Oryctolagus cuniculus: one gene and its partners. The protein of the gene in region 5 interacts with the protein of the main gene of each other region in a pairwise test. Links are inferred from orthologs where the notes say so. Each region holds a gene or a part of one and is shown on either strand. Other genes may lie near its edges. The genes, in order: FAM50B, SMARCD1, FAM107A, ZBTB16, LDOC1, CTNNBL1 and MFAP1.

Region 1 (4,138 bases), on a different chromosome or scaffold from region 5:
GCCACAGCGCGCTGGCCGCGGTAGCCATTGGAGGGTGAATCAACGGCAAAGGAAGCCCTTTCTCTCTCTCTCTCTCACTGTCCACTCTGCCTGTCAAATAAGAAAAAGAAAAAGAAATAATTTACATCCTCAGAAAGTTGGGAATCTCTGTGTGAGGTCTGACTCAAACTGGCTGCAGTAAAATATTAGTGACTGGCGGGGGCTGGCACCGGGGGCTCACTTGGTTGATCCTCCCCTGCGGCGCCAGCATCCCATATGGGCACCAGTTCTAGTCCCAGTTGCTCCTCTTCCAGTCCAGCTTTCTGATGTGGCTGGGAAGGCAGTGGAGGATGGCCCAAGTGCTTGGCCCTGCACCTGCATGGGAGACCAGGAGGAAGCACCTGGCTCCTGGCTTTGGATTGGCTCAGCGCCGGCCGTGGCGGCCATTTGGGGATTGAACCGATGGAAGGAAGACCTCTCTCTTTCTCTCTCTCTCTCTCTCTCTCCCACTGTCAAATAAAAAAGAAAAAATAGCGACTGGCCCGTCTGCAGAGGGCAAGGTCACATGGGCTGTAGATGCGGCTGGCTTCGGAAGCGCAATGCCCTCACATTCCTGCTTCCTGCTTCCTGGCCGGGCGCACGCTCCCCGGGCCACGCACTGCTGTCTGCCATGCTCCAGGGGCTGCCAGCTCTGGCTCCCCGCTCTGGAGTTCAGTCCCCCGTCTCTCACCACATCTCTCCTTGCTCCGTCCAGGCCCTGTGACCAGGTCAGTGGTGAATGAGAATCTAAAGGGCCGACACTGGAGTGGGAGACGGAGTGAGCCTGGGATGCCTGGGGCCAGGTGGAAGCTCACCCAAACAGGAATTGGCGTCGGCAGGAGGAAGGGAGGTGGACGCTGGGTGCTCACATTAGCATGTGCTCACCACAGGTGGTCCTCTTTCATGGTTGCAGGAACCCTGGGACGGTAGTCGCTTACCAACTGATTTATTTAATTCAAACAGTGAGAGACAGTAGGAGAGACAGAAAGAGACCTTCCAACTGCTGGCTCACTCCTTAAATGGCTGCAACAGCTACAGTCGGGTCAGGGTGAAGACCCAAGGACTTGGACCATCATCCACTGCTTCCCAGGAGCGGTAGCAGGAGGCTGGATGAGGAGCAGCCAGGACTTGAACCAGAGCTCCCATATAGCATGCCAGTGTTGCGAGCATTGGCTTAGCCGGCTGTTGCCACAATCCCAGCGCCCAGTGTCCTTATTTCATAGACGGGGATACTAAAGCCTTCAAGAGCTGTAGGACTGACCCTCAGACACTCCCCTAGCAGGTGGCAAAGCTCAAGTCCAGATCTCCTGGCTACATTCTCTACTGTTCCCAGTATTGTAAATTACCACCTATGGGCTTAAAACCACCACCGGCTGGGTATAGGAGTTCTACAGCCTCCTTGGTATCACTAGGAAGCCAAGGAAAGATGTGAGCCACAGGAGGCTGCGGCTCCTGCTGGGGCGGGGACACCGCGATGGTTTCCACCACAGCGGCTCTGAAAGACTGATAGTGAAGGGCCTGTTCTCCCCAGCCCGGACTCCCCAAAGCAGAGCACGGGCCAGGAGCTTTTACTCACGGGCAGTTTATTTGGGAATGTGTTGCAGGGAGCAGGAGGGTTTGCTGGGGGGATGAGGCGGGAGGGTGAGAAGGAAAGCCAGGGCCAGCTAGGGAGCCTCCTCTGTAGATGACTGCTTGATCCCACAGGGACTTTCACGAATTTGAAATGTGTCTCCGAGCGGTTGTGTTGGGGGCTGGGGGGAGGGGAAGCATTTATGTAAGAGCTCACGGCCCCAGTGGGTGATGGTCTTCCCACAGGATGTCGTTAACCCCACGTGAGTGAGTGTCCAGGGGGTTGCCTCGGGCATCCTGGCCAGCCACTGTACCGGAGCAGCCAGAGACAGGAAGTGAGGGCACTCGGGTGTGATGCTGGTTAGACAGCTGCTCAGGAAAGAGAGAGGGCCCGAGGACAGAATTTGAGAGACAGAAAAAGCGATCGAGAGCCTCCTTTGACCAGTTCTCTTCCCTAAATGCCCACCATGGCCCAATGGCGGGGGCTGGGCCAGGCTGACGGTAGGAGCCAGGAACCCAGTCTGGGTCTCCCATCTGGGCGGCTGGGACCCAAGAACTTGGGCCATCACCGCTGCCTCCCAGGGTGCTCTGTAGCAGGAAGTGGACATGAGCGGAGCTCAGACGGAAACCCAGGCACTTCTGTAGCGATGCGCGTGTGCCTCCTGCCAGCCGCGAGTCTGCCCTGGGATCAGAGGGCCGCATCACCAGACCACATCAGTGGTCGCCTAGAACACTAGACGTCTCCCATACGCAGTCCGTGATGAGCTAATATTTAAAAAGCGATGCACACACGAGCCCTAAGGCCTGTTTTCCTAGTTCAGAGCTGCAATGTCACAACCAGCTGCTAAAACTGCCCTCCTAGTACCCCCACTCAACCACTGAGGGGCCCCGAAAACACAGCAAGGCTAGAAGGCTCCGTTCCTCCCCACCGCCCTAAGCTAAGAAACCAGACCCTTGCTTGCCGGTCAGCGTCCTTCCGGCTAGCGTTTGCTGTAGCTGAGCAGCTGGGCGTCCTGCTACTGCCCCAGCTGGACAGCAGGCAGTCTGATTTCCTTACCGTTGGGTGAGCAGAGCAGGCGATTATCCCTTCCCAGTGCCTGTCCCGATAAGGCTCCCTCTAACTGACAGCCATGGCAGGCAAAACACATACAACTGCCGTGGCAGTCACTGACCAATCAGCAGGAGGCCTGAGCCGTTCCGTCTGAGGTCGCTGTAACTGCCGCCGGGGTTGACCAGTTGCCTCCGCCCTGCCCCCAGCTCCACGCATCCTTTTGTCTCTCCCTTGTTCTCTGTGAGGTTTTCCTGGGCTGCTCCTGCACGGATGCTCTTTCCTTCTGTGAGGTTAATTAGGGCTCTGTGTCCAGAATGTTACTGCAGAGGCTCATGTGACCAGCACCACTTGGGATACCTGCACTTTTTTGGCAATGAGAGATAGAGATTAGAGACAGAGGTGATAGAGAGTGCTCCTATCCACTGTTCACTTCCTAACAGTGAGGCAGAGTGAAGCCTGGGATGCCTGGGGCAAGGTGAAAGTTCACTGAAACAAGGATTGGTGTCTGGGCCTGGTGCTGTGGAGGAGCGGGTAAAGCCGCCGCCTGCAGCGCCGGCATCCCATATGGGCGCCAGTTCGAGTCCTGGCTGCTCCACTTCCGATCCAGCTCTCTGCTGTGGCCTGGGAAAGCAGTGGAAGATGGCCCAAGTCCTTGAGACCCTGCACCCCTGTGGGAGCCCTGGAAGAAGCTCCTGGCTCCAGACTGGCATTTCCTCAGGACAGCAAAGTAGCCAGAAGGGAAGGTGACTGCCCCTGAGAACACAGGCCCTCCAGCTCTCCCGGGCCCTGTGACGCCTGCCAGCCCTGGGCCCATCTTCACCACGGTGCAGGTGTGGGTTGCAGCAGTGAGGCACAGACACAGACATCCCCGGGACAGTGGGTGGGGACACAGTGGGACGCTGCCCCAGATGCAGAAGGCTTCATATGACTGTAAAACCGAGACACGGGTGCGCCCTGAGTAGCTGAATTCTGGGGAAACGGGGAACAAAGCAGGACTCTGCACTGCTTAGAATCTTCAAAGAGCGCATCTCACGCAACCTTCTGCTTCCGTTGTCTGGTTTGTAACACCAACCGCTTGCTATTCGTAGTAGACTCTTCTTTAACTCACTCCCCAAAGAGAGGGCAGCTGGCAAAACTTTTTAGAGGTTTATTTATTTATTTGAAAGGTGGAGTGAAAGCGAGCGAGTGAGAGAAATCTTCTATCCACTGGGTCACTCCCACATGGCTGCAACGGCTGGGGTTGGGCTAGGCTGAAGACAGGAGCCAGGAGCTTCAGCTGTGTCTCCCATGCAGGTGCAGAGACCCAAGTACTTGAACCATCTCCTGCTGCCTTCCGAGGTGCATTAGCAGGGAGCTGGGTGGGAAGCAGAGCAGCCTGGACTTGAACTGGCGCTCCAGGATGGGACGCGAGCATTGCAGGTGGTGGCTCCACCCACTGGGCCACAATGCCGGCCCCCAAATTTCTTGAATGAATGGATAAGTGAGAAAGAAAAGGCAAAA
Region 2 (3,500 bases), on a different chromosome or scaffold from region 5:
CAGTTCTAATAATGTCTTAACTTGGTTCCCTACTCTAATCACACTGGCCTGGTTTCTCCAGACTGACGGCTGCGCTGAAGGCAGAGCCAGGCCTTGCACCGCAAATCCCCGATGCCACAGAGCACGGACACTAAGTCAGCACCCGACAGCGTGCCTCTGCTTCCCCACTTCACTGTAACCTGGACCCTGGGGCGTGCTCAAGCAAACCTGGGTGCACTCTCTCTTCCCTGCCTGGCTCTTCCACCAGGTGCTCTGCCATAAAGCAGACGAGTGCCTCGCAGATCTGAGGCCCGCGGATCAGCCCCGGCTTCCTTACCTTGAGGTCTCGGCACTGGGACTGAAGCCAGTCATTGATGAAGCCCTGGGGGTCTCTGGCAAAGCTTAGCATGAACTCTCGCTGCGTCTTCAGCTGGTTGATGGTTTCTATCGTCTCATGGATCTGAAAGCGAGATGGAAGCTATACCAGTTTCAAGCTGGACAAACAGAATGAAGCGGCACCTGATGTCTCTGTGTGTCACTCCTGGCCTAGATCCAGCTCAGAGCCAGCGCCACTGCACAGGGTGCCAACTGCTCCGGCCTTGGGGCTCCCCAGCAGGTGATATGCACCTGTTTCTGTCTCTCTGTTTACCTCCTGTGAGAGAAGTTTCCATTCTCGACTCCTCAATACATACCATGGGCACAGCTGCAAAGAATACTTAATCCAAGCAGAAACAGGCGCCAAACAACTGTGAGGTGGAAAAGGAGGCGCGCAGGGCTGGCTCAGCAGGTGTCTGGTTCCCAGCTCTCTCCTTGTTCTGCACACTCTTCCTGGCAATGTCTGTCTTGTACGTCTTCTGTGTACACCGACAGGGGAACAGCTCCCCAGTCAGCAGTCCATTTCCTGAACGCCAAGCAGATTGGCTACTGTCTCGACATTGCAAGGCATCTGACGCTCACCACATCCAAAACGAAGTTCATGGCCCTCTCCCCGCACCTGCTTCTCCTCCTCTGCTCCCAGCATTGCCCATCACTGCCACCAGCCTGGGAGTCCTCTCAATGCCTCCCCCTCAGCACTCCACCCCTCACTCCCATCTAAACAGTGGCCAAATCCCTTGATTGCACTTGAGGCCCCGTCAAGCCTGTCGACCCGTTTCCAGCCTCACTGGGCACGCCTTATGTTGAAAGCCCCAATAGCTCACACACGGATTACTGTACCAGCCTCACTGGGGCTTCCGGCGGCTTCCAGATCTGCCCCTCTTTCTACTTCCTGCCAGTGATCGCTCCAGATGCAACAGCGCCCCCACCTCCACTGGGGATGCTCGCCCCAGCAGACTCCCGGCCTCCTGTCCAGGACGACGCGCAAACCAGTTCTCCCTGCACCAAAGCTTCATGATCAGGCTCCTGTTTCCCTGCCCAGCACCCTGTGCTGTGTCTAGAGCCCTAACAGCTTGTTCTTCTTGAACACGCCGGGCTCTCTCTCACTTCTGGAAGTCTATAGAGCCCACTCCATCTTTCTGGACTGCCCTCTGCCCCTAAGGTCCCCGGCCCTGCTACCCTTCCACCCCTGTGGGAACTTCCATGTGGTCGTTCAGGGTTTACTAGTGCATCAGCTCTCCCTGTTCTCCCCTGGATCCCCAGTGACTTCACTGTCCGGGACTCTGTCTACCGTTAGTAGGAGAATGGAGACAGCAGCGACAGCAGCAGGATTTCCCACTCTTGTTCTTACACGCCGGAAACACACTCATGTCTTTACACACACGATTTCATTGACTCCGAATGGCAACCTCCGAGGAACAGGTGTTAATGGTCCCCACTTCACAGATCAGAAAGACGGAGGCTTAATGCTATTAAAAGGGGCAGCCAGAGTCCAGAGGAGGGGATTCATGGGGAGGTTGACTCCAATCAGCACCAACCACGGCACCTGACAGACGCTGGCTGTCCACGTATTGGGGAACCCTCAAAAAGATCCCAGGAAACGCGCATGCAAAAGCACTCCGATGCATCTCCGAATTTCCTCACGTCACAACAGATCTACCTCTCAATTCCGTCCTTCATGAAGTGCCCTTTATTCAGAATGAATACCAAGCAGCAAAAGGTGGCCTGCTGGCGACAGCCACGCTATCTAGGCGGGGCCCCTACCTTGTTGTCCAGGGTCGCGATCTCCTGCTGGCTGGCAGTGGACAGCAGGAAAGAATTCATCTGAGTCTTCAAGGTGTCATCCACCTCCACGTCAATGTCGTAACAGGCTGTCTTCTTCTGATCATTCGGGTCAACACTGGGGAGGGAAGCAAACGGCCTGGTGAGGGGTTTGTCCCAAGATCTGACAACACAGCATCAGGGACAGGAAAAGGAGCCGACTCCAAAAGGGCCTGAGGACTTTCAGGTGTGACAGAACCTTCTCGCCTTTCATTGCAATGGCAGCTTCCCAGTGTACACAGGTGCCCAAAGTCTTCAAACTATACTTCAAATGGCTACAGTTTACGAAATATAAATTACTCCTCGACAGGGCTGGCTTTTTTACAAAGTCAAAGGTAAGGAACGGGTAGTTGGCACAGTGATTAAGACAACACTTGGGGGTGGCCAGTATTGTGGCACAACAGGTAAGGATGCTGCCCGCATCCCATAGGAGCGCTGGTTTGAGTCCCAGCTGTTCTGCTTCTGATCCAGTTCCCTGCTACTGCCTGGGAGAGCAGAAGATGGCCCAAGAACCTGGGCCCCGTACCACCCACGTGGGAGACCCGGAAGAAGCTCTTGGCTCCAGGCCTCAGACTGACCCAGTTCCAGCTGGCGAGGCCATTTGGGGAACGAACCAGCAGACGGAAGACATCTCTCCCTCACTCCCTGTTCTCTGTAACTCCACCTTTGAAACAAACACAACTTTAAAAAAAAAAAAAAAAAAACCCTCTTATTTATTTTGAAAGTTAGAGTCACAGAGGGAGGGAGACAGAAAGAGACCTTTTATCAGCTGGCTCAGTCCTCAGATGACTGCAACAGCCAGCACTGGGCTAGGCTGGAGCCAGGAGCTTCACCTGGGTCTCCACATAGGTAGCAGGGGCCCAAACACTTGGGTCATCTTTCTCAGAACACTGGCAGGGAGCTGGATCGGAAGTGGGGCAGCCGGGACTCGAATCAGCGTCCATATGAGATGCTGGTGTCACAGGAGGTAGCTTTATCCACCTAGCCACAGCGCCAGCCCCAACCTTTGACGCTGAAAATAATGTGTACACACACACACATCCCTAACTTTAAGCACGGGAATACAGGACAGACCAGCTCCAGTGCCAACTTATAGGGTATAGGAACTGCTACCAGGTGAGTGATGGTTCAGGCCCCTGACTGGATAGAATCTGCAGCAAAGCGAGGAAGGCAAGACGATAACTACAGAGAGACGCTGTCTAACTACAGAGAGACGCTGTCTAACTACAGAGAAATGCTGCTCTGAGGAGGAAGTACTCTTCTTCACTCCGTATCTGCCTAGAAGTGCCTCGCTCTCTAACTTGGGAACAAGAAAAGTGAACAGA
Region 3 (3,500 bases), on a different chromosome or scaffold from region 5:
CCCACGTCCCACGTCAGAGCGCCTGGGTTCAAGCCCCAGCCTTGGCTCCTGACTCCAGCTTCCTGCTAAAGCAGACCCTGGGAGGTGGCAGTGATGCTCAAGTAGCTGGATTCCTGCCACCAGCGGCGGGCCGGGGTGGCGGTGGGGGGCTGGACTGAGTCCCTGGATCCCAGCTTTGTACAACGCCCACCCCCCAGATATTGCAGACACTTGGGGAGGGAGTTGGCAACTTTTTTTTTAATTTCTACAAAAACATTTCCTCTCCTTCCCACCTTCTCTCTTGCTTTTGGACATTCCAAGGTTAAGGAACCAGCTTGTAGAAGAGGGAACCCTTAGGTCTGAATTTCAACTACACTCACCACTTTCAAACTGCCATGGTAGAAGTGAGGCCATCAAGTAGCCAGCCGGTTGCATCAAAGATGCCAGCCATCCCTTTGTAACGAGTGGCACAGCCCCTGCCTCGCACAGCCTCCTCTTTGGTCCACACAAAGTGAAAAGCTAGACATTCCCACCACAGCATTTGGAACTACAGATGGAGAAATTAGGGTTAGTATTTTCACCCCTGCATGTATCCAATCATCTTTAACAAGTACCTATCACTTTTTATCTATCTTTCCTTTTTCTGTTTTTCAAGTTCATTGAAACACACAAACTCACACCTAATTCCCTTTCTAGTCGAAGACACTTTTTTTGTTTTTTTTGCAATCAAGCCAGAAAACATATGCAGGTCCCAACCCATTTGCTGTAACCCAGGCTCACTTGCTTCCCTTCCCCAGGTATCTCACAAACACTATCACCGATCCTTACAAGCCCATGCATCGGTCCAATCACTGCCAAGATCAGGATAGCGAGGACCCCCTGACATGAAACCCCCACCCTTCAACGGTGCCTGCTGGGCACAGGCGGGATTGGGGGCTCAGCTCTAACCCCTGTGCCCATCTCCACAGCCTCCATGTACTCCGAGATCCAGCGGGAGCGGGCGGACATTGGGGGCCTGATGGCCCGGCCAGATTACAGAGAGTGGAACCCGGAGCTCATCAAGCCCAAGAAGCTGTTGAACCCAGTGAAGGCCTCGCGGAGCCACCAGGAGCTGCACCGAGAGCTGCTCATGAACCACAGGAGGTGCGGGTGGAGTTGGGCTGCCCTGGCCCGGCTGGAACAGGTGCCCCTCGGGGAAGGCAGCCCTGGTCTCATCCTGGGCTCCTGGAGGCCGAGGAGGGCTGGGGGTGCCCTCCGTGGTCAGCACGGACACTGCCAAGATCCAGTCTGCAGAGGGTCCCCAAAGCCCTGTACACCCAGCCATCCACTTCACGCCAGCACCCCAGGGGCGTCCACCAGGAGCACAACCAGAAATGAACCCAGTTCCCACACTTGCAGAGCAGATGCAGGCACAAGCAGGCAGGGATGGTGTTTCATAAATTTTATTCCAGAGGCAGAAAGAGGGGGATCGTCTGTCTACTGATTCACTCTCCAAATGCCCTCAACATCCAGGGCTGAGCCAGGCCAAAACCAGGAACCAGGAATTCAATCCAGGTCTCCCACGTGGGTGATGGACTCAAGTACTTAAGCTATCACCGGCTAGCTTCCAGGCTGCACATTAGCAGGAGGGGAGCCAGGACTCAAAACCCAGCCACTCCCATACGGGGTGCCTGCAACCTCAATAGTGACTTCATCACTGCACGCAAAGTGGGTCTGGAAGCCCAGTGGAGGAACCTGGGAGGGGTCCAAGGTGACTGCCTGCAAGAGTGGATGCCTCGGCTAAGGCTCAAGTGGGGACGGGGTGAGCCAGGCTAGGACGTGGGCGTTGCATGGCAGAGCGGGAAGCATGTGCAAATGAAGCCACACAAGCAGCTGGGTGTGGCTGGGGCAGAGACTGAGAGGGGCAGCCAGGAGTAGAGCTGCAGAGTGACGAAGGCATAAGCAGTGGAGGCACACCATCTGGTCAGCTTTGGCTGAGGTAGGGGAACGGACCCGCCACACTGGAGGCGGCAAGCAGGAAGCACAAAAACCCAGTATGATGAAGAGGGGCTCCAGGGACAAACAGGCTGTGGCTGGGCTGGAACTCCACAACCGATAGGCGAGGGTGGACAGGGCGCAGCAGAACCGGGAGGAAGGCGGCATCGCCGCCTTTGTCGCTCCCTCTGCTGGCCGGTTCTGGTATTGGAGCCGGTTGCGATTTCCCTTCCAGTTTTCAGGAGTGACCAACATCCTTTTGTGCCTGGGTAGTTTGGGGTTTTCTATTCACTCGGTGTTATTACAATAGCATTTTCTCTGATTGGCTTTCAGAGGCATCGCATTTAATATCAAAAATGTCACCACAATGAAAAGCAGAAGCTTAAAGATGAACCAGGGGAAATATGTGCAATATTTTACAATATTTGCAATAGATTTTATTGGAAAAAATTTATATGCAGAAAAAATTAATAAATTCTGATCTCTTAAAAATCCACAAGGAAAAGATAAGTGAGCAAGGGGCACAGCGCTGTGACATAGTAGGCTAAGCCTCCACCTACAGCACCAGCATCACATACGGGTGCCGGTTCGTGTCCTGGCTGCTCCATTGCTGGTCCAGCTCTCTGCTTATGGCCTGGGAAAGCAGTACAAGATGACCCAAAGGCTTGGGCCCCTGCAGCCACATTGGAGACCTGGAAGAGCCCCCTGACTCCTGGATTAAGATAGACTCAACTCCAGCTGTTGCAGCCATTTGGGGAGTGATTCAGTGGATGGAATACCTCTGTCTCTCCCCCTCCAACTCTACCTCTCAAATAATAATTTTAAAAAAATAAAAAACAAAGATAGATGAGCAGAAAGCAGATACAACTAATTCACACAAAAGGAAATGCAAGGAGTTACTAAACTTATCAAAGCCTGTTCTATGTAAAGACACAAATGAAAACCAGACATTTACCTATTTGAAAGGCAGACAGAGGGAGAAAAGATCTTCCATCTGCTGGTTTATTCCTCAAATGCCTGCAACAGGTCTGGGCCAGGCTAAAGCCAGGAGACTAGACTTCATCCGGATCTCCCAGTGGGGAGGGTGGGTGGCAGGGATCCAAGAACTTGGATCATCTTCCACTGCTCTCTCAGGCACATTAGCAGGAAGCTGCACCAGAAGTGGAGCAGCCAAGACTCGCTCCAGCAGCCTATATGAGGTACCATTGTTCCAAGTGGCAGCCTACCCCATTGTGCCACGATGCAGGACCCCAGGTATTATTTCTTAGCTACCAGATTTGCAAAGGTAAAAGAGATTGGCTGGTGGCAGAGGGGAGAAGCAGAAGCTCTTGTGCGCTGTTGACAGAGCGGACAGGCTTCTAAGGGACAGACAGAAATAGGAATCCAAGATCTTCCCTAAGAACCTGATGCAAGAACACCACCTTTAGAAACTCATCCAGAGAACCTAAGCAGGAGCGTGCGTTCGGCTCAGAAGTTGGGATGCCCACAACTCTGGCTCTTGACTCCAGCTTCCTGCTAACGAAAACCCTGGGAGATGGCCACTGATG
Region 4 (3,500 bases), on a different chromosome or scaffold from region 5:
GACTGGAGCCTCCCTCCTCGGGGTGACTTGGGGCTTGGTGGGAGCAGAGCAGACTGTGCAGCAAGAACAGGGATGGGCTTGTCCAGCATCCCTCAGAAACGATCCCCCCCACCCCCCGACCTCCAAACCGGGAGAGGCAGGCAGGTGCAGACCTAGTACCATCTAATGCTGCAAGACCAGATCGAGGCACCTCTGCGTGATTGGCCACACACACAAAGCACACGCACACGTGCATACACAGGGACACTGTGGTGGTGGTGTGGATTTTGTTTTCCCTATTCACATTACAAAAGGAAGGGCCAGGTCCTGTAGAACTGATGGAAGAACAAATATTACAAAAATATTACAATTTGTAAAGAGTAGCTCACCCCTCTCAGCTTCTGTGACCAGGGGCAGGGGGAGGCCAGGCTGAGTGGGAAGGGTAGGGGAGAAAGGCCAGCTAGTTCTAAGGAATAGTGGGGTTATTTTTTTAATTTCCCCTCCAATGCTGAATGACATCTTGCCATTAAAAATACTGTTTTTTTTCCAGATGCCTTGAAGGCCCATGAAGGAGGGAGGAGTGCACAGTGGTTTCTTACCCGGCCCCTCCCCCAATGATCCTGCTCTTTTCACATTCTCAACATGACAGGTGAATCTCTCGTCCTTTTCAAAGCACAAAGTCATAGTTACTCCCTACCTTACCTGCCTAACCCAGTCTAGTGGCACAGCCCCCCTCCCCCAGGTCCACTGCTCCTCCCATACGGTTTTTAAGGCCTTCAGATTCCATAGACAAGACAGGAGGGGTGGGGCGGGGGAGGGTGGTCTCAGCAGCACCCACCCCTCTGACCTCCATGTGCTCCTTCACCACCCTGCTCCCCCCAAACCACTTCCTAAAACCTAAGATCCAAACGCAGCCACAACTTTCTCAGAAAGAGAAAGGAAAGAAAAAGAACACAAGTCAAACTCCTTACACAGAGAGCATGAGATGTAACAGAGCATCACCCCAAAGCCGACGTGGAGATCCCAAGCGTGCTTTCCCACACTCCGAGGGGGCGGGGCAAAGGCGGGGAGCAGAGCAGCCAACGGGGGACAAAAGAACACTTGGATGAACACAAGAGGTAGCTTTTGGAGAAACCACACCTCCACCCCAACACAACAGAACTAAAAGCTGGCTCGTCCCCAGACCAGCCACAGAAACCTAGAGGCTCTGTGGCAGTGGCCATGGACACAGGCGGGCGAGCCCTCCCAGCTGGCTGGCCCAGCAGAGTGGTGGAAAGAAAGGTGGGATTTTCTCCTGAGTGTTTTGGGCTGATCTCCTACAGGGCACTGAGGCTTTAAGAGCCTAGGATGGAGGCCCCTGTGGGGGCAGCGAGACCCCGGGGCACCATCCCCTGCGCCCACCCTCCCATTCAGATCCTGAGCACTTGACTCCTCCACACAGTGCCTTGTGGCTGGGAGGCCCAGGCCAGCTGAAGTCTATAAACTATTGATTTACACAAGAAACAGAAAAGGATACCCTCCCCGTTCCTCCAACCCCCCAACCCAAAAAAAAAAAAAAAAAAAAAAAAGCAGGGGGTGAAAAAAGCTCATGAGGTCACAAAAAACTGAGGTAATTCAAGTACAATGTGCTGACAGGGGACACAGAAAAGAAGCAAAACATGACACAAGGCCAAAACACTTTCCACTCCTCCCTCTACCCCAACCCCAACCCTGTGGACTGAGGGGCCCTGGAGCTGGGCTTCTGTGCTGCTGTCTGCACCCGGACGTCCCCAGGGCCTCACCTTGTCTGGGGGACCCCGGTCCCCACGTTGAGGGGGTCCCTGATACGGCCTAACAGTTCAGGCGGAGCGTCTGTTCCCGTGCGCAGGTGTAGGGCCCATCTGGACAAAGACACCCCCATGGCTCCCCCTGGACAATGAGTCTTTCTTGGACTCTTTCCCCTAGCAACTGAAGAGGGCTGGAGGGACTGTTTGCATGGTGGGGAACTATACACTCGGTGGTTACGATTTTCCATTTTGGAAGCAAAAAGCAGCTTGGCGGGAATCTCCCTTGTGATGGACGAAGGGGCTTGACTGGCTGGGCTAGGCTATTCCATCCCTTCCGTTCTGTGTTCTCAAAAGCAAAGGCAGGAGGCAGCTCCTCAACCAGGACACAGGCGAAGGAAGACAGTGCCTCCGAGAGTCAGAGCCAGGAGGAGCCCGGAGTGCCCCCAGGTCCTGACTGCCCGCAGGGCATGAGGAGCTCAGCCCAGAGCCTCGGGGTTCTTGGAGGCCAGGAGGGGATGCTCAGGGGTGGCAGGCGGGGAAAGCAACAGGTGAAAGTTGAGTGCTGGGACGAGCCAGGGGCTCTTCCCCTGTCCCATCAGCCACTGGGAAGCCAGAGCTGCCATCATGAGTGTCGACCGAGGCCCAGCCCTGCCCCGCCAGCTCAGCCTTGTGTCCGCTGCTCCCCTCCCTCGGCTTCAGAGGCAGTGGGACGAGGGCAGGCAGACTGGGACCAGAGGCCCTCTCCCCTGTCCCCCGCCTCCACTTCTGGACACAAGAGGCGGCTCTGGGTAGAGAGAGAGGGAAAGGCTGCCTCCATCTGAGTGAGCAAAACCACCCCCGCCCTACCCTCCCAAGAAAATCAGGCCCAGGAAAGAAGGGGGAAGGGGCAGTGGCGTAGCATCCCAGGCTCCAGAGCCCCAGGGAGAACCCAAGGCCCACCAGCTTTTCGATTTCTTTCTCTTCTCTCCTTTCTTCCTTTTCCGTTTGTGTCTTTGCGCACAGTCCTTCCTCCACGTCGTCCCGCGCTCCTCCCCCGGCCCCGGGCGCCTCCTCACACGTAGCACAGGTAGAGGTACGTCTTCTCTATCCTCCAGTCGGGCGGGATCTCCTCGGGCTTGTGGCCCTTCATGTGCTTCTGCATGGAGGAGAGGCTGGGGCAGTACTCCGTGCAGATGGTGCACTGGTAGGGCGAGGCGCCGTTGTGCGTGCGCAGGTGCTTGATCATGGCCGAGTAGTCCCGGGAGCGCTGGTGGCACAGCTTGCACTCAAAGGGCTTCTCACCTGCAGGATGGTGGGGGGGCAAGACGGGGCAAGGAGAGTGAAGCAGGCACAGCAGTGGGGCGTAGGCCTGGTGCCGGAGGCCTCCGTCCCTCCAGCTCTGCACCGCCCGGCTATGGTGTGTCTCATGCTGCTGGCCCACTACACTTTTTACTTTATTGTGATGTCACACGTGTGGCTACAGAAATGCTCAGCATAGCCCCAGCCCCCTGTCTTGCTGGTCTGGACTCTTAAAAGACTTGGCCTCTTCCCTTCCTAAGTAAAGAAAAGGACGTACCTGGCGAGGGCTCCTCAGGTCACAGTGCCCCCACTCCCTGTTCAGCAGCAGGACCATGGATGTGGGGGGTGGGGACAGGAGAAGTCAGTCCCTCCAACACTATCCCTGTTCTGCCCCCCCCCCCGCCCCCGACTAGAACTGGGGGGGGGGGGCAGGGACTAAGAAGCTAGGGGTACAAGGCCACACCTTAGCCTGCTCCT
Region 5 (3,425 bases):
CAGGCAATAAGGGTTAAGGGACAGAGCTTCCCTGACAGTGTTAAGGAACCCAAAAGACAAGCAGGGCTCACACTGGGGGCTTCACAAAGTTCACTGAAAATGTACATTATTTTAGTTCCATTTTCCCATGGACTTCATGAAGCCCCTTCATGCATGTGTCCAGGTTTATACGCTTGCTGTGTCACCATGATTAGTAATAGCATCCCCTTTTACTCTCAAAAGTGTCCTGGTTTGGGATGATGAGCCACATGCTCAGCCACCCCTTACCCATGCCACCCTGGAGGCCCCAGAAGACATTCCGTTTGGGCTTTAAGCTATGCCTTGGTAAGGGAAGCATTGGAATATTTTTAAAGCCCCGTGGAAACTGTCCTCTGTAGCCTAGAGATGACAATAGGGACCACTGGGATTGAATTGGACATCAATGGGAATAGCAGGAGTCAGTGTGAGCATGGCAGATGCCAGTGATAGCACTTAACCATTAAAAGACAATCATTTCTCACTTTTTGTAGTGCTTGATATTTATTGAAAATAATGCCAACTTTTTTTTTCCAGGTAGTATTGAGGAGCTGAGCTTAGTGCGTTTTTGCTTTTTGTTTGTTTTGTTTTTAGAAACATATGTTCAACCACACACATTGGTGGGGCTGCTGCAATTATGAAAGAAAAACGACAGTTGTGCATTAGAGAAAAGAGACATCAACAATTTGGTTGCCAGGCACACCAGGTCCCCGCAGCACTCAGGCTGGGTAGAGGACCCTAGGAGTAGGTAGGGAACTAACCAGGTTGAAAAACAGCCCCTTGAGGGGCCGATGAGCTGTCCAAATCAATGTCCGAAAAGGTGTAGCCAAGTCAGAAGTCTTCTGTGTTGGTCCTTGTCTCTAAAAGCGATGATCTGTCAGAGGCTTGCAGTGGGCGATGGCGCAGTGGTAGCATGAGTCTCTGTGCAGGTGTAGGCCTGGCAGCGAGGCAGGTGGCAGCAGCAGTGTGATCTGAGCAGTTTGTAACAGGGGCCTGGCCTATAACTGGGGCTTATGACACAGTTCAGATGAGGTGGGGAGAGGTCCTGGGGCTAGGCAAATCAGATGACCGGCTTCAGGGTGAGGCCCCTGCCCAGCCCCAGCAGCAGGTAGCTGGAGCACTACTCCTGGAACAAAGACAAGCACTTCGGGGGTTGGGGAGGGGAGAACAGGAAGGCAAGGGGAGTGCAGCAGCTCCGGAGGTCGGGTGGGATGGGGTGGGGGTGGAGGAGAGGGAGAAGTGGCTGCGTGCAGGGCTCTCCCCTCATAGGCCCCCAGCGGCTCGGGGCCTAGTAATCATCCTCTTCATAGTCGTCGTCGTCGTCTTCGTCATCATCCCAGCCGAAACACTGCTTCATCTCATCCAGGAAGGCCCGGTAATCGCCTAGGATGGGGCTATCCATCTCGATGTAGGGCACCACCCACTCCTCGGCTTCCCCGGTCAGGAGGCTGATTAGGAATGCCACCTTCATGGCGTCGTTGCAGAACCGGTTCTCGTTCACGAGCATGTAAGACGCCGTCTGCACAATAAACTCGGGGAGCCGGGAGCTCTCGCCGTTAAACGTTTCAGGGAAGGGCACCGGGCAGCTCGGCGGACGTACCTGGCGCAGCAGGCTGGCCCTCTCGCAAACCAGCAGCCGCAGCTGTTCCATGAGCTGGCTGTTCTCGATGCTCAGGGCGCGGTGCCTCACCAGCAGTGCGTGCAGCAGTAACACAAGCTCGTCCACCATCTCGAACAGCTTGAAAGGTCTGGGCTCGCTCGAGTAGGCTCCGCTGGGCCAAGATGCACACAAGAGGCCTTGCAGGAAGTGCGTGTCCTATAAAGTGCTGTGGCCAGGGGCGGGGGACGGCGAGCGTGGGGTCCCGGCGGCTGCGCAAGCTCCGCCCCCGAGGCCACTCAGGCAGGCGGCGCGCCGGCGCAGCAAGGTGCGGGCGGGGCCGGGGAAGAGGCCAGGACGCAGTGGGGGCGTGGCCTGGCTGCCGCGAACCGTTGGAGGGGACTTGAGACCAGGGAGGGAGTGGCCGGGGAGGGAAGCGCAGGGTCGCGCAGTGTCGCGGAGAGCAGACAAGTGCTGGCTCGCTAGGAGAACTGGTAAAGGCTGTGAAATGGGGCCGAGCCCCGGATGTGAGGCCTGCGTTAGCCTAGGGCCTGGCGGGCACTGAGCGCCATGTCGCAGACAGCCGACTCGCACAATTCACTGTTTCGCGGGTCTGCAAACGCCAGTTTCTTGGGTGCGATGTTTTGTTGATAGGATTAATCGCCTTTTCAAACCTCCCCTAGAGAAGTACTGACGCTGCTGACTGCCCTGCTGCAATCACCGATCCTTTCAGAGTCATAAAGACTCTTAAGGGGTCCGGGCTTTCGTCGCAAAGCGGTATTTGAACAGGGACTTTTATTTAGAAACCATTACTAAGTGTTGAAAAAATTCTGAATAGAGGCTTATAACAAGTTCTGCAAAGTCACCATCTGATAAGCGCTTAAGGTGACCTCCCTGTGTGGCTCTGTTTCACGTCCTGATATCAGAGCCTGTGGCAATGGTTGTTATTCTTAACAATGAGGAAACCATGAAGACATTTGTGCTCTTTAATGTTTTTTTCTATTTGAATGTGAATATTCAAATAGTTTTTGACAACGAATGCAGCCCTCTTTGTCACTTCTACCATTGCCAGACCGCTAAAAGCAATCACTTTTAGCTTGCTTTCTTCTCTTCCTACACTCTGTTCTCTATAGAGTAGCTGTGGGAATCCTTTAGCGCAGAAGTCAGATCCCTTCCCTCCCTGGCTCAAAACCCTCCAATAGTTTCCCCTGTCACTTAGAATAAAAAACAAAGTCTTGACCATGCCCTATAAGGAAGGCCCTGCCTACTCTCCTAGGTCTCCCATTCCCAGTTCTGCTCTAATCACACCCCACCCCCTGCTGATTCTTACACATATCAGCTAATTCCAGCCTCAAGGCCTTTGTACTTTTTATCCCTCTGAATTGCAAAGCTCTTCCCAGTTAGAGGCCTGGCTCCTCCCCTTACATTCCTACAGAACTTTCCTGAGCACTCCGGTTCTCAGAGCGCCCTGTTCTGTGCCACCCAGTCTCTAACCCCTTACCTTATATGTTTCAATACAGAACATTTATCATCATAATCCTGGCCAGCACATTGTAGAGCACTTTGTTCATCATCTGCCTCCACTGTAGAATGTAAGTTGGTGCAGAGAGAGGCTTTGTTTGCTAGCTGCTTTATCTCTAGTGCCTAGAAGCCAGCCTGGCCCAGAGAAAGGTCTCCATTAATGTTTGGTGAATGATAGCATCTCAAAATGCAAATGTTGAGATGAAAACTAGAAATGGTGGCTGCACAAAGTGTCCAAAAGGATTCTTCAAATTATGTAGTGCAGCTCTGATGATGAAATCAGTCATAATAC
Region 6 (4,125 bases), on a different chromosome or scaffold from region 5:
TGTTCTGTACCCCTTTTTCTTACACGTGATGCCTTGTGTGAGGAGGCACCCATCTGCACCCTGTTTTCTTTTAATAACTTTTTTCAATTTTTGTTTTCTATTTATGTATTTGACAGGTAGAGTTATAGACAGTGAGAGAGAGAGAGAGACAGAGAGAAAGGTCTTCCTTCTGTTGGTTCACTCCCCAAATGGCCGCTACAGCCAGCGCTGCGCTGATCTGAAGCCAGGAGCCAGGTGCTTCTTCCCGGTCTCCCATGCAGGTGCAGGGGCCCAAGCACTTGGGCCATCCTCCACGGCCCTCCGGGGCCACAGCAGAAAGCTGGACTGGAAGAGGAGCAACCAGGACTAGAACCCGGGCCCCAACCGGGACAAGAACCCGGCGCCCATATGGGATGCCGGCACCGCAGGTGGAGGATTAACCAAGTGAGCCACGGGGCTGGCCCCACACCCTGTCTTCTTACACCAGCGCTCCCAAACAGGCACACCTCCTGCTGGAACCCTGAATGAACACTCATTCAACAACCCTCCTATTTCCTTCCTTCCTTCCTTCACAGTCTACTCAATTGTCTAAAAGAACTCTGAGTTACGCATACCCCCGCGTGCTCCACAAGTTCTTTCCCCAGACGTCTGGAACCCCCAGGGTGGCGTTTCCGTATATTGGCTAAGGCAGTGGCATGAAAATAATTAGCAATTTATTGAACATTTACACTTTGTCAAGCATTGGTCTACATTTCTCAACAGCAGCCCTATGAAAGGTACCGTCATCGGCCCCACTCACAGATGAGGAAAACAAGGAATAGAAAGGTTAAACAGTCTCTTCAAGGTTACAGCAGCCAGTTAGTGGCCAAATATTCCACACAACCTGGGGCTACAGACACATGGCTCTTAATCACTTATTCTTGACTGCAGAGCTGCCTACTGAAAATATGGCCAACAGTATATGGAACTTACTTTTTTAAATATTTATCTATTTATTTGAAAGTCAGAGTCACAGAAAGGCAAAGGCAGAGGGAGAGGGAAGGAAGGAGGGAGTGAGAGAGAAAGGTGTCTTCCATCCCTTGGTCCATTCCCCAAATGGCCCAACGGCCACGGTTGGCCAGGCCAAAGGCAGGAGGCAGGAGCTTCATCTGGGTCTCCCTGGGTCTCCCATGTGGGTATAGGCAGCTGGATAAGAAGTGGAGCAGCCAGGTCTCAAACTGGCGCCCTTATGGGATGCTGGACCTGCAGGCAGCAGCTTAACCTGCTACACCACAGCGCCGGCCCCGTGAAGTGGAACAACTGGGACTTGAACTGGTGCCCATAAGGGATGCCACAGCACTGCAGGCGGCAGCTTTACGCACTCTGCCAGAGCCAGCCCCTTAGAATTTTCTAGTGGCCACATTGAAAAGTCAGGTTAAAACACTGCCTGCCATGATGGCATCCCATACCACAGCACTCATTCCACTTCTGATCCAGCTCCCGGCTCATGCGCCTGGGAAGGCAGCAGAAGATGCCCAAGTACCTGGGTCCCTGCCGCCCCTGTAGCAGGATGGAGTTCCTGGCTTCTGGCTTCAGCCTGGCCCAGATGTAGCTTGTTGCTGCCATTTGGGGAGTGAACCAGCAGACAGAGATCTCTATCTCCCTCTCCCTCTCCCATTTTCATTCTGTTGCTCAGTCTTTCAAGTAAAAAATAAATACATCTTTTAGAAAGTCAACAGAAACAAGTAAAATTGGTTTTAAATGTATTTTATTTCACCCATTATCCAAAATAGGATCACTTAATCAATATGATCGATAATCAGTGTGGTTGCTAGACTCAGCGTGATCACAAAATCCTATAAAAACACTCCTTTTTTCTCGCTGAGTCTTCGGAACCCAGTGTGATCTCATACTCACAGTACCCCTCAGCTCTGACTGGCCACACGTCAGGGGTCGGGAGGGCGTGCGGCTACCGACCCCGGACGGGCAGGGCGGTTCTGCGGCCTCCCACGCGGAGCCTCTCAGGCAATCAGAGAAGCGATGAATCCCGAGGTTGAAGTCAGGATACCTGCGCTCCGACCCCGGCTCTCACCTGCTCAGGGACCTCGGCCCGGCCTCCCGTTTTCCCACAAGTACCCCAACAAGGGAGCCTTCCTGCTTCCCAGGGGCCCAGCCCAAGCTGGAATTACGAGCATCTCCCAGCAAGGGCGGCCAACTCGGGCACAGCTTTGCACGCTCAGCAGCTGACACAGACCTCAAACAACTCTACTAAGTAGCTGAAACCGTCTCCACTATGCAGATAAGAAAACTGAGGCTAGCGGCACAAACTCAACGACTCGGCGGTGGCGGCCGCTGGGAGAGGACGATGGGAACCAGACCTCTGGATGGGGTGCGAGTAGGCAAAGGGGCTCAGGCCCGGAGCAGGCATAGGAAGGGACTAGCGAAGTTTGCAGGAGTGAAGTGAGATGAGGTCAGAAGCGAGGGGGCCCGGAAGGAGATGAGACGAGGTGAGACCAAGGCACTCTGGCCCTGCGATCTCCGACCCGGTGAGGAGCAGTCTCCCGGTCTCCCCAGTCCCTCATACCTGGTAGCTCAGAAGTTCGCCCACGTCCATAGTTCCCCGTCCAGGCAACAGCCGATCCGCTCGTTCCCTCCACTCAAACCCACACCGCGGGCCGCTCGGCAGCGCTTCCAGCCACACTGCCGAAAAGCGCCCTGTGCCAGGCCCCGCAGAGCCAATAGGGTAAAAGTGCGTGCGGCAGGCGAGCAGCCACACTGCGGAAAAAGGCAGCGCTACCGTAAAGCGCGCCGCAGTGGTGACCGTACGGCTTCCGCCTGGAGCCTGAAAGGGGCGGGGAAGGGGGCGGAGACTTGGAGGAGGGAGGCGTGGGGAGAGAAGGGGCGGCGGGAGCCGGGATTTAATGCGCTCCCTCTCTGTGTAGGGCGGGGTGGTGTGGCCTCACGTGTGCTCTCACAAGCCCTGCGGTGGTCCAGGCGATTTCATCCAGGTAAGGAAACTGAGGCTCAGAACGGCATAGGCCAGCACCATGTTCCACGCAGCCACAGAGTAGCTATCGCGCGCTTGAAATCCAGCCAGAATGCACACGGGGTTTCCAAGACTTAGACTGATGACACGTCGAAATGTTCGGGCCAAATAAAATAGATGAGAAAATTAATCTCTCTCGTATCTTTTGACTCCTTCAACGTGGCTGCAAGATTTTTACATCTGTGGGTCTCATGTGTATTTCCGATGGGCAGGGCTAGCTCCAAAGGTGAGGGGCCAGGGCCTACAGCCAGGACTGCCACCGCACCTGGGGGTGGTCGTGGATTCCTCCCAAGCTTCTGATCATCCAGGCAAGGCCGCTGGGAGCTGATCCAAGTGGTGCAGACGGGTTTTCTGGAGGAGAAACTGCCCGTCACTGGAAGACAATCAAAGAGTGCATCTCATCTTCTGAGACTCTGTCTTCCAGACTCCACCCAGGGAATTAAACCTCCCCATAAGCCCCTGCCCTTCACATTCATATCTATAATCCCATCCCACTGTCTCAAGCTGCACAGAAATTCATTTCATTCTTCAAATCCTCTCTTCTGCCTGGCTGGTAGCGCCACGCCTCATCCAACTCACTGGTCCATCTGATACCAAGTGTCGCCTTCTGAGAGTGGGCTTCCTCAACTCACCACACTCCAAGTGGCAGCGGCTCCCCGGTCCCTATCCTCCCTGGGGCCTGTTCCACGGTCTGTGTCTCAGTCTGTAATTTTGTACTCAACGTTTGGCTGCTTGGTTCTTGTCCGTCAGCCTCTGTGTCCTGGAGCGAAGGCTGTTTGAGAGAAGGATCGTGGGGGTTGTGTGTCTCCAAAGCCCAGGCCAGGGCCTTGTGCGCCTTGGGAGACACTGGATTGTGTGCTCACAGGCATGGGAAGGCAGTTCTGTGATTGGTTTGTTTTTTAAGGCTCGTCTGTACACTCTGCTTTGAACCGAGTTTGCTTCGGGTGACCTTTCTCCTCACTGAGGCAGAACAGACCTGGACACGAGCAGCCCTGTGTTCTAATGTATGATATGCAGGGCCAGCTGGTGTAAGAAGGCTCACACAATACGGCTCTATTTTCAGGACGTTTGGGAGTGTTTCCACACTGTGAACCAGTGACTGCTACACATCGGGGTGGTCA
Region 7 (4,293 bases), on a different chromosome or scaffold from region 5:
AGGTGATTTGGCCCTGCATTCACATGGGAGACCAGGAGGAAGCACCTGGCTCCTGGCTTCAGATCAGCACAGCGTGCTGGCCGTAGCAGCCATTTGGGGGGCAAACCGATGGAAGGAAGACCTCTCTCTCTCTCTCTCTCTCACTGTCTAACTCTGCCTGTCAAAAAAAAATTACTGTCCAGCGCCGGGCTCACTTGGCTAATCCTCCGCCTGCGGCGCAAGCATCCCAGGTTCTAGTCCTAGTTGGGGTGCCGTATTCTATCCTGGTTGCTCCTCTTCCAGTCCAGCTCTCTGCTTTGGCCCAGGAGGGCAGTGGAGGATGGCTCGAAGTGCTCAGGCCCTGCACCCGCATGGGAGACCAGGAGGAAGCACCTGGCTCCTGGCTTCGGCCACAACACACCAGTCGTGGTGGCCATTTGGAGGGTGAAGCAATGGAAAGGAAGACCTTTCTCTGTTTCTCATTGTCTAACTCTGCCTGTCAAAAAAAAATAAATTACTGGTGAAAGCAAACTACCACAGCATTTCTGAACTTCAAGATTTTTCTCAGATAGTCCCTTCTGTATCCCACCGCAGCAGTTCTGAAGTCCTTTCTTTGGTGAAATGTTAACTTCAAATTAGTCATTTTTTTGCACAACTTATAAATTGGGGCTGCTTTTGTTATGATTCTAACAGTGTTCAAGACTTCCTAAATAAAAAATCTAGCTTCTTGAAGAAAAGAGCTTTTTAGCCATGTTCCATACTCCTTTCAGAACCCTAAGTATGGTAAACATAAATACTCAATCATAACTAGGACTTAAATACAAACACAGCAGATAGGGACCCAGGAACTGTGGTGTGAGATCGGTATCCTACTTGCTAAACCAAACGCCCATCTGGAATTAGGTATTTGAATTAGACGGTTACCAGAAACAAAGAATTTAAGAGCCTTAAAGTTGAATTGCAGGATCTGATATCGTTTGCCAGGTCCCTTAGGAATTGTGTGTTTGTCTCTCTCTCTGGCCTAAATCACCTAAATACCCTGCCACGGTCCACCCAAGCCTCATCAACTCGTTAATCAGCTCTACAAGATTAGCAAACTCTAGTTCTTCCAAGTTTTCACAAATTTAGACAGTCCTTCACTAGCTCCATCACTATCCCGTCGTCCTTGGCTTCAAACAAGGATAAGGTGAAACTTTTTAATCTCAAACCCGCTATACAGCTAACACCTCTCAATTTCCCGACAGACGAGGTTTCCAAATCCCGCGAGATTAAGTATGCGCGGTCTCTACGAACATGCGCAATAACAGACGCGACCTGTAGGCGCTCAGAAGTCCTCCAGTATCCCACAATCCTCTCTTCATGCTTTTCCGGGTTATATAGCTCGGCCGCAACTAGTTTCAGTCGCGTAGCAGCTTCCGGTGGACCTAGGCTGGAAGGAGGTTTTCTTCTCGCCTTGTTGGTGTTTACTGTTTAGGAGCACTCTGATTTAGGGAATCACCGCCGCAGTCGTCAACATGTCGGTACCGAGCGCACTCATGAAGCAGCCGCCCATTCAGTCTACGGCCGGGGCCGTCCCGGTTCGCAACGAGAAAGGTACTGTTTTCACCCGTCTTCCAGTCGGATCTTACCTCTGCCTGCCGTGCGTCCTGCAAACCTCCCTTGGGCTTCCCATCCCAGCCCCACCGACCCTTAAGTCGGTTGCCAGTTTCTTCCACCTTCCCACCGTAAAATCTCACCCAGTGCGATAGCGGGGCTTGGGGAGGGAGGTGCGGGAGGATCGACAGGCATCTAATATTTCTGAGACATTTCTGCTCTTACGTGCAGTAAACTCTCTGCTTTTGGGCTCCACAAATTCCTTAGGATGAGAATTATGAAAGGCTCATATGTGGTGAATCTGTTAGCGGAGCGTTGTCTTAGCGATCTGTTTATGGTGTTTTTATAACACATCAGTTATTGTAGTAAACGCATAATCTCCTTGATGTGGAACCGTCATCCTCAACTTTGTATCCATTTCAACCATTAGAGTGAATATGTTTAATAAATTGAACACAATGCTGTGTAAGACAGTGCCCCTAACCTTAAGGAATGCATACTCAAGGAGATTTATTTGAAAGGAAGAGAGAGGCGCCGGCGCTGTGGTGCAGCGGGTTGACACCCTAGCCTGTAGTGCCAGCGTCCCATGTGAGCGCCGGTTCGAGACCCGGCAGCTCCACTTCCAATCCAGCTCTCTGCTGAGGATGGCCCAAGTGGGAGACCTGGAGGAAGCTCCTGGCTCCTGGCTTCGGAGCGACGCAGCTCTGGCCGTTGCGGCCAATTGGGGAGTGAACCATTGGATGGCAGACATCTTTCTTTCTCTGCCTCTGCCTCTGCCTCTCTTCTCTCTGTGTAACTCTTTCGAATAAATAAATAAACCTTTAAGGGGGAGGGGGCGGCACCCCGGCTCACTAGGCTAATCCTCAGCCTGCGGCGCCGGCACTCCAGGTTCTAGTCCCGGTTGCTCCTCTTCCAGTCCAGCTCTCTGCTGTGGCACGGGAAGGCAGTGGAGGATGGCCCAAGTGCTTGGGCCCTGCATCTACATGAGAGACCAGGAGGAAGCTCCTGGTTCCAGATTGGCGCAGTGCACCGGCCGTAGCAGCCATTTGGGCGTGAACCAACAGAAGGAAGACCTTTCTCTCTGTCTCTCTCACTGTCTAATTTTGTCTGTCAAAAAAAAAAAAAAAAAAGAGAGAGAGAGACTCCCAAAATTGCTGCGATGGCTCCTGAAGCCAAGAGCCTGGAACTCCATCCAGGAGGTCTCCCATATGGGTGGCAGGGTCCCAAGTACTTGGGCCATCTTCCACTGCTTTCCCAGGTGTATTAGCAGGGAATTGGATTAGAAGTGGAGCAGTCCAGCCCTCTATATGACGTGAGATGCCACTGGCACAAGCAGCAGCTTAACCCACTGCACCACCATGCCGTGTGTTCATGTGTTTTATTAGCTCTCCGTTTTCTTTTCTGTGAATCACCTCTTTCTGTCAGTCATTTTCTGTTTGCTGGAGGGTTTTTGGTTTTGTATGTGTGTGCGTGTTTTATTTACTTCAAAGGCAGACCGAGAGAGAGAGAGAGAGAGAGAGAGAGAGAGAGATTGATTGATTGATTGATTGATTCACTCCTCAGATTCCTGAAACAGCCAGGGCTGGGCCAGGCTGAAGTTAGGAGCCAGGAGCTCCATCAGAGTCTCCCATGCAATTGACAGGAATCCAAGTACTTGAGCCATCACCGGCTGCCTCCCAGGTTGTGCATTACCAGGAAACTGGATCAAAAGTGGAGTTGGGACTTGACCCCAGGCACTTCATTATGGGATGTCGGTGTCCCAAGTGACAACTTAACTGCCTACATCACAGCACCCACCCATTTGCTCTTTTTTTTTTTAAGGATTTATTTATTTATTTGAAAGGCAGAGAGGCAGACAAAGAGGTCTCCCATCTGCTAGTTCACTCCCCAAATGGCTGCAACAGCCAGAGCTGGGCCGATATGAAGCCAAGAGCCAGGAGCTTCCTCCAGGTCTTCTATGTGAGTGCAGGGGCCCAACAGCTTGGGCCATCTTCTACTGCTTTCCTGGGGCATAGCAGAAAGCTGGATCAGAAGTGGAGCAGCCGAGACTCAAACTTGCACCCATATGGGATTCCAGCACACAGGCAGTGGCTTTACTTGCTATACTATAGCACTTGACCCTATTTGCTCTTTTTTTAGATATAACATTCCAGCTCTATAATATTCTTTTCTCTATTTTTTTGGCTTGTCTTTTAACTTTTAATTATCAAGTTCTCAGTTACAAAGACATTTTTAATTTAAGTATTGTCCAGTTTATCAACTTTTATGGTTTGTACTTTTTAAATATATTGTTCAAGAAATTGTTCCCTAGGGGTAGGTGATGTGGCATGGCAGTTGAATCGCTGTTTGGGACATTGATGTTCCAGTTTGAGTGCACAGTTCAAGTCTCTGCTAATTCGCTTCCAGTCCAGCTTGCTGCTAATGTGCCTGAGAGGCAGCAGCAAATGGATCAAGTACTTGGGCCCCAGCCACCCATGTGGGAGACCAAGTGGAGTTCCTGGCTCCTAGCTTTAGCCTGCCCCAGCCCCGGCTGTTGTGGCCATTTAGGGATTAAACCAATGTATGGAGGATCTCTTTCATCTCTCCCTCTGTCACTTTGCCTTTCAAATCAATTTTTAAACATTTTTTATTTTATTTATTTAAAAGGCAGAGTTGCAGGTGGTCGAGAGTGGGGAAGGTAGAGAGATCTTCCATCTGCTGGTTCACTCACCAAATGACCAC

The links.
Region 1: the proteins of LDOC1 (region 5) and FAM50B interact in binary tests that used the Homo sapiens proteins (3 or more experiments, as listed by UniProt). The two-hybrid records come from large-scale screens. The link is inferred for Oryctolagus cuniculus from reciprocal best matches to the Homo sapiens genes LDOC1 and FAM50B.
Region 2: the proteins of LDOC1 (region 5) and SMARCD1 interact in binary tests that used the Homo sapiens proteins (3 or more experiments, as listed by UniProt). The two-hybrid records come from large-scale screens. The link is inferred for Oryctolagus cuniculus from reciprocal best matches to the Homo sapiens genes LDOC1 and SMARCD1.
Region 3: the proteins of LDOC1 (region 5) and FAM107A interact in a two-hybrid assay, tested with the Homo sapiens proteins (2 studies listed by BioGRID and IntAct). The two-hybrid records come from large-scale screens. The link is inferred for Oryctolagus cuniculus from reciprocal best matches to the Homo sapiens genes LDOC1 and FAM107A.
Region 4: the proteins of LDOC1 (region 5) and ZBTB16 interact in binary tests that used the Homo sapiens proteins (3 or more experiments, as listed by UniProt). The two-hybrid records come from large-scale screens. The link is inferred for Oryctolagus cuniculus from reciprocal best matches to the Homo sapiens genes LDOC1 and ZBTB16.
Region 6: the proteins of LDOC1 (region 5) and CTNNBL1 interact in binary tests that used the Homo sapiens proteins (3 or more experiments, as listed by UniProt). The two-hybrid records come from large-scale screens. The link is inferred for Oryctolagus cuniculus from reciprocal best matches to the Homo sapiens genes LDOC1 and CTNNBL1.
Region 7: the proteins of LDOC1 (region 5) and MFAP1 interact in binary tests that used the Homo sapiens proteins (3 or more experiments, as listed by UniProt). The two-hybrid records come from large-scale screens. The link is inferred for Oryctolagus cuniculus from reciprocal best matches to the Homo sapiens genes LDOC1 and MFAP1.

Annotation. Positions count from the first base shown.
Region 1 is NC_091436.1:166,404,642-166,408,779, forward strand, and holds the start of FAM50B (protein FAM50B), read right to left. Parts: upstream 2,801-4,138; 5' UTR 2,645-2,800; intron 1-2,644.
Region 2 is NC_091442.1:53,425,896-53,429,395, reverse strand, and holds part of SMARCD1 (SWI/SNF-related matrix-associated actin-dependent regulator of chromatin subfamily D member 1), read right to left. Parts: intron 2,255-3,500; coding exon 2,119-2,254; intron 440-2,118; coding exon 317-439; intron 1-316. UniProt on the Homo sapiens protein: Involved in transcriptional activation and repression of select genes by chromatin remodeling (alteration of DNA-nucleosome topology).
Region 3 is NC_091441.1:91,449,216-91,452,715, forward strand, and holds part of FAM107A (actin-associated protein FAM107A), read left to right. Parts: intron 1-300; exon of another isoform or gene 301-546; intron 547-947; coding exon 948-1,122; intron 1,123-3,500. UniProt on the Homo sapiens protein: Stress-inducible actin-binding protein that plays a role in synaptic and cognitive functions by modulating actin filamentous (F-actin) dynamics. Mediates polymerization of globular actin to F-actin. Also binds to, stabilizes and bundles F-actin.
Region 4 is NC_091432.1:106,134,240-106,137,739, reverse strand, and holds part of ZBTB16 (zinc finger and BTB domain-containing protein 16), read right to left. Parts: intron 3,027-3,500; coding exon 2,797-3,026; 3' UTR 1-2,796. UniProt on the Homo sapiens protein: Acts as a transcriptional repressor. Transcriptional repression may be mediated through recruitment of histone deacetylases to target promoters. May play a role in myeloid maturation and in the development and/or maintenance of other differentiated tissues.
Region 5 is NC_091453.1:119,608,574-119,611,998, reverse strand, and holds LDOC1 (protein LDOC1), read right to left. Parts: upstream 2,109-3,425; 5' UTR 1,745-2,108; coding exon 1,304-1,744; 3' UTR 501-1,303; downstream 1-500. UniProt on the Homo sapiens protein: May have an important role in the development and/or progression of some cancers.
Region 6 is NC_091442.1:20,960,757-20,964,881, forward strand, and holds the start of CTNNBL1 (beta-catenin-like protein 1), read right to left. Parts: upstream 2,801-4,125; 5' UTR 2,573-2,800; coding exon 2,543-2,572; intron 1-2,542. UniProt on the Homo sapiens protein: Component of the PRP19-CDC5L complex that forms an integral part of the spliceosome and is required for activating pre-mRNA splicing.
Region 7 is NC_091443.1:66,702,024-66,706,316, reverse strand, and holds the start of MFAP1 (microfibrillar-associated protein 1), read left to right. Parts: upstream 1-1,493; coding exon 1,494-1,572; intron 1,573-4,293. UniProt on the Homo sapiens protein: Involved in pre-mRNA splicing as a component of the spliceosome.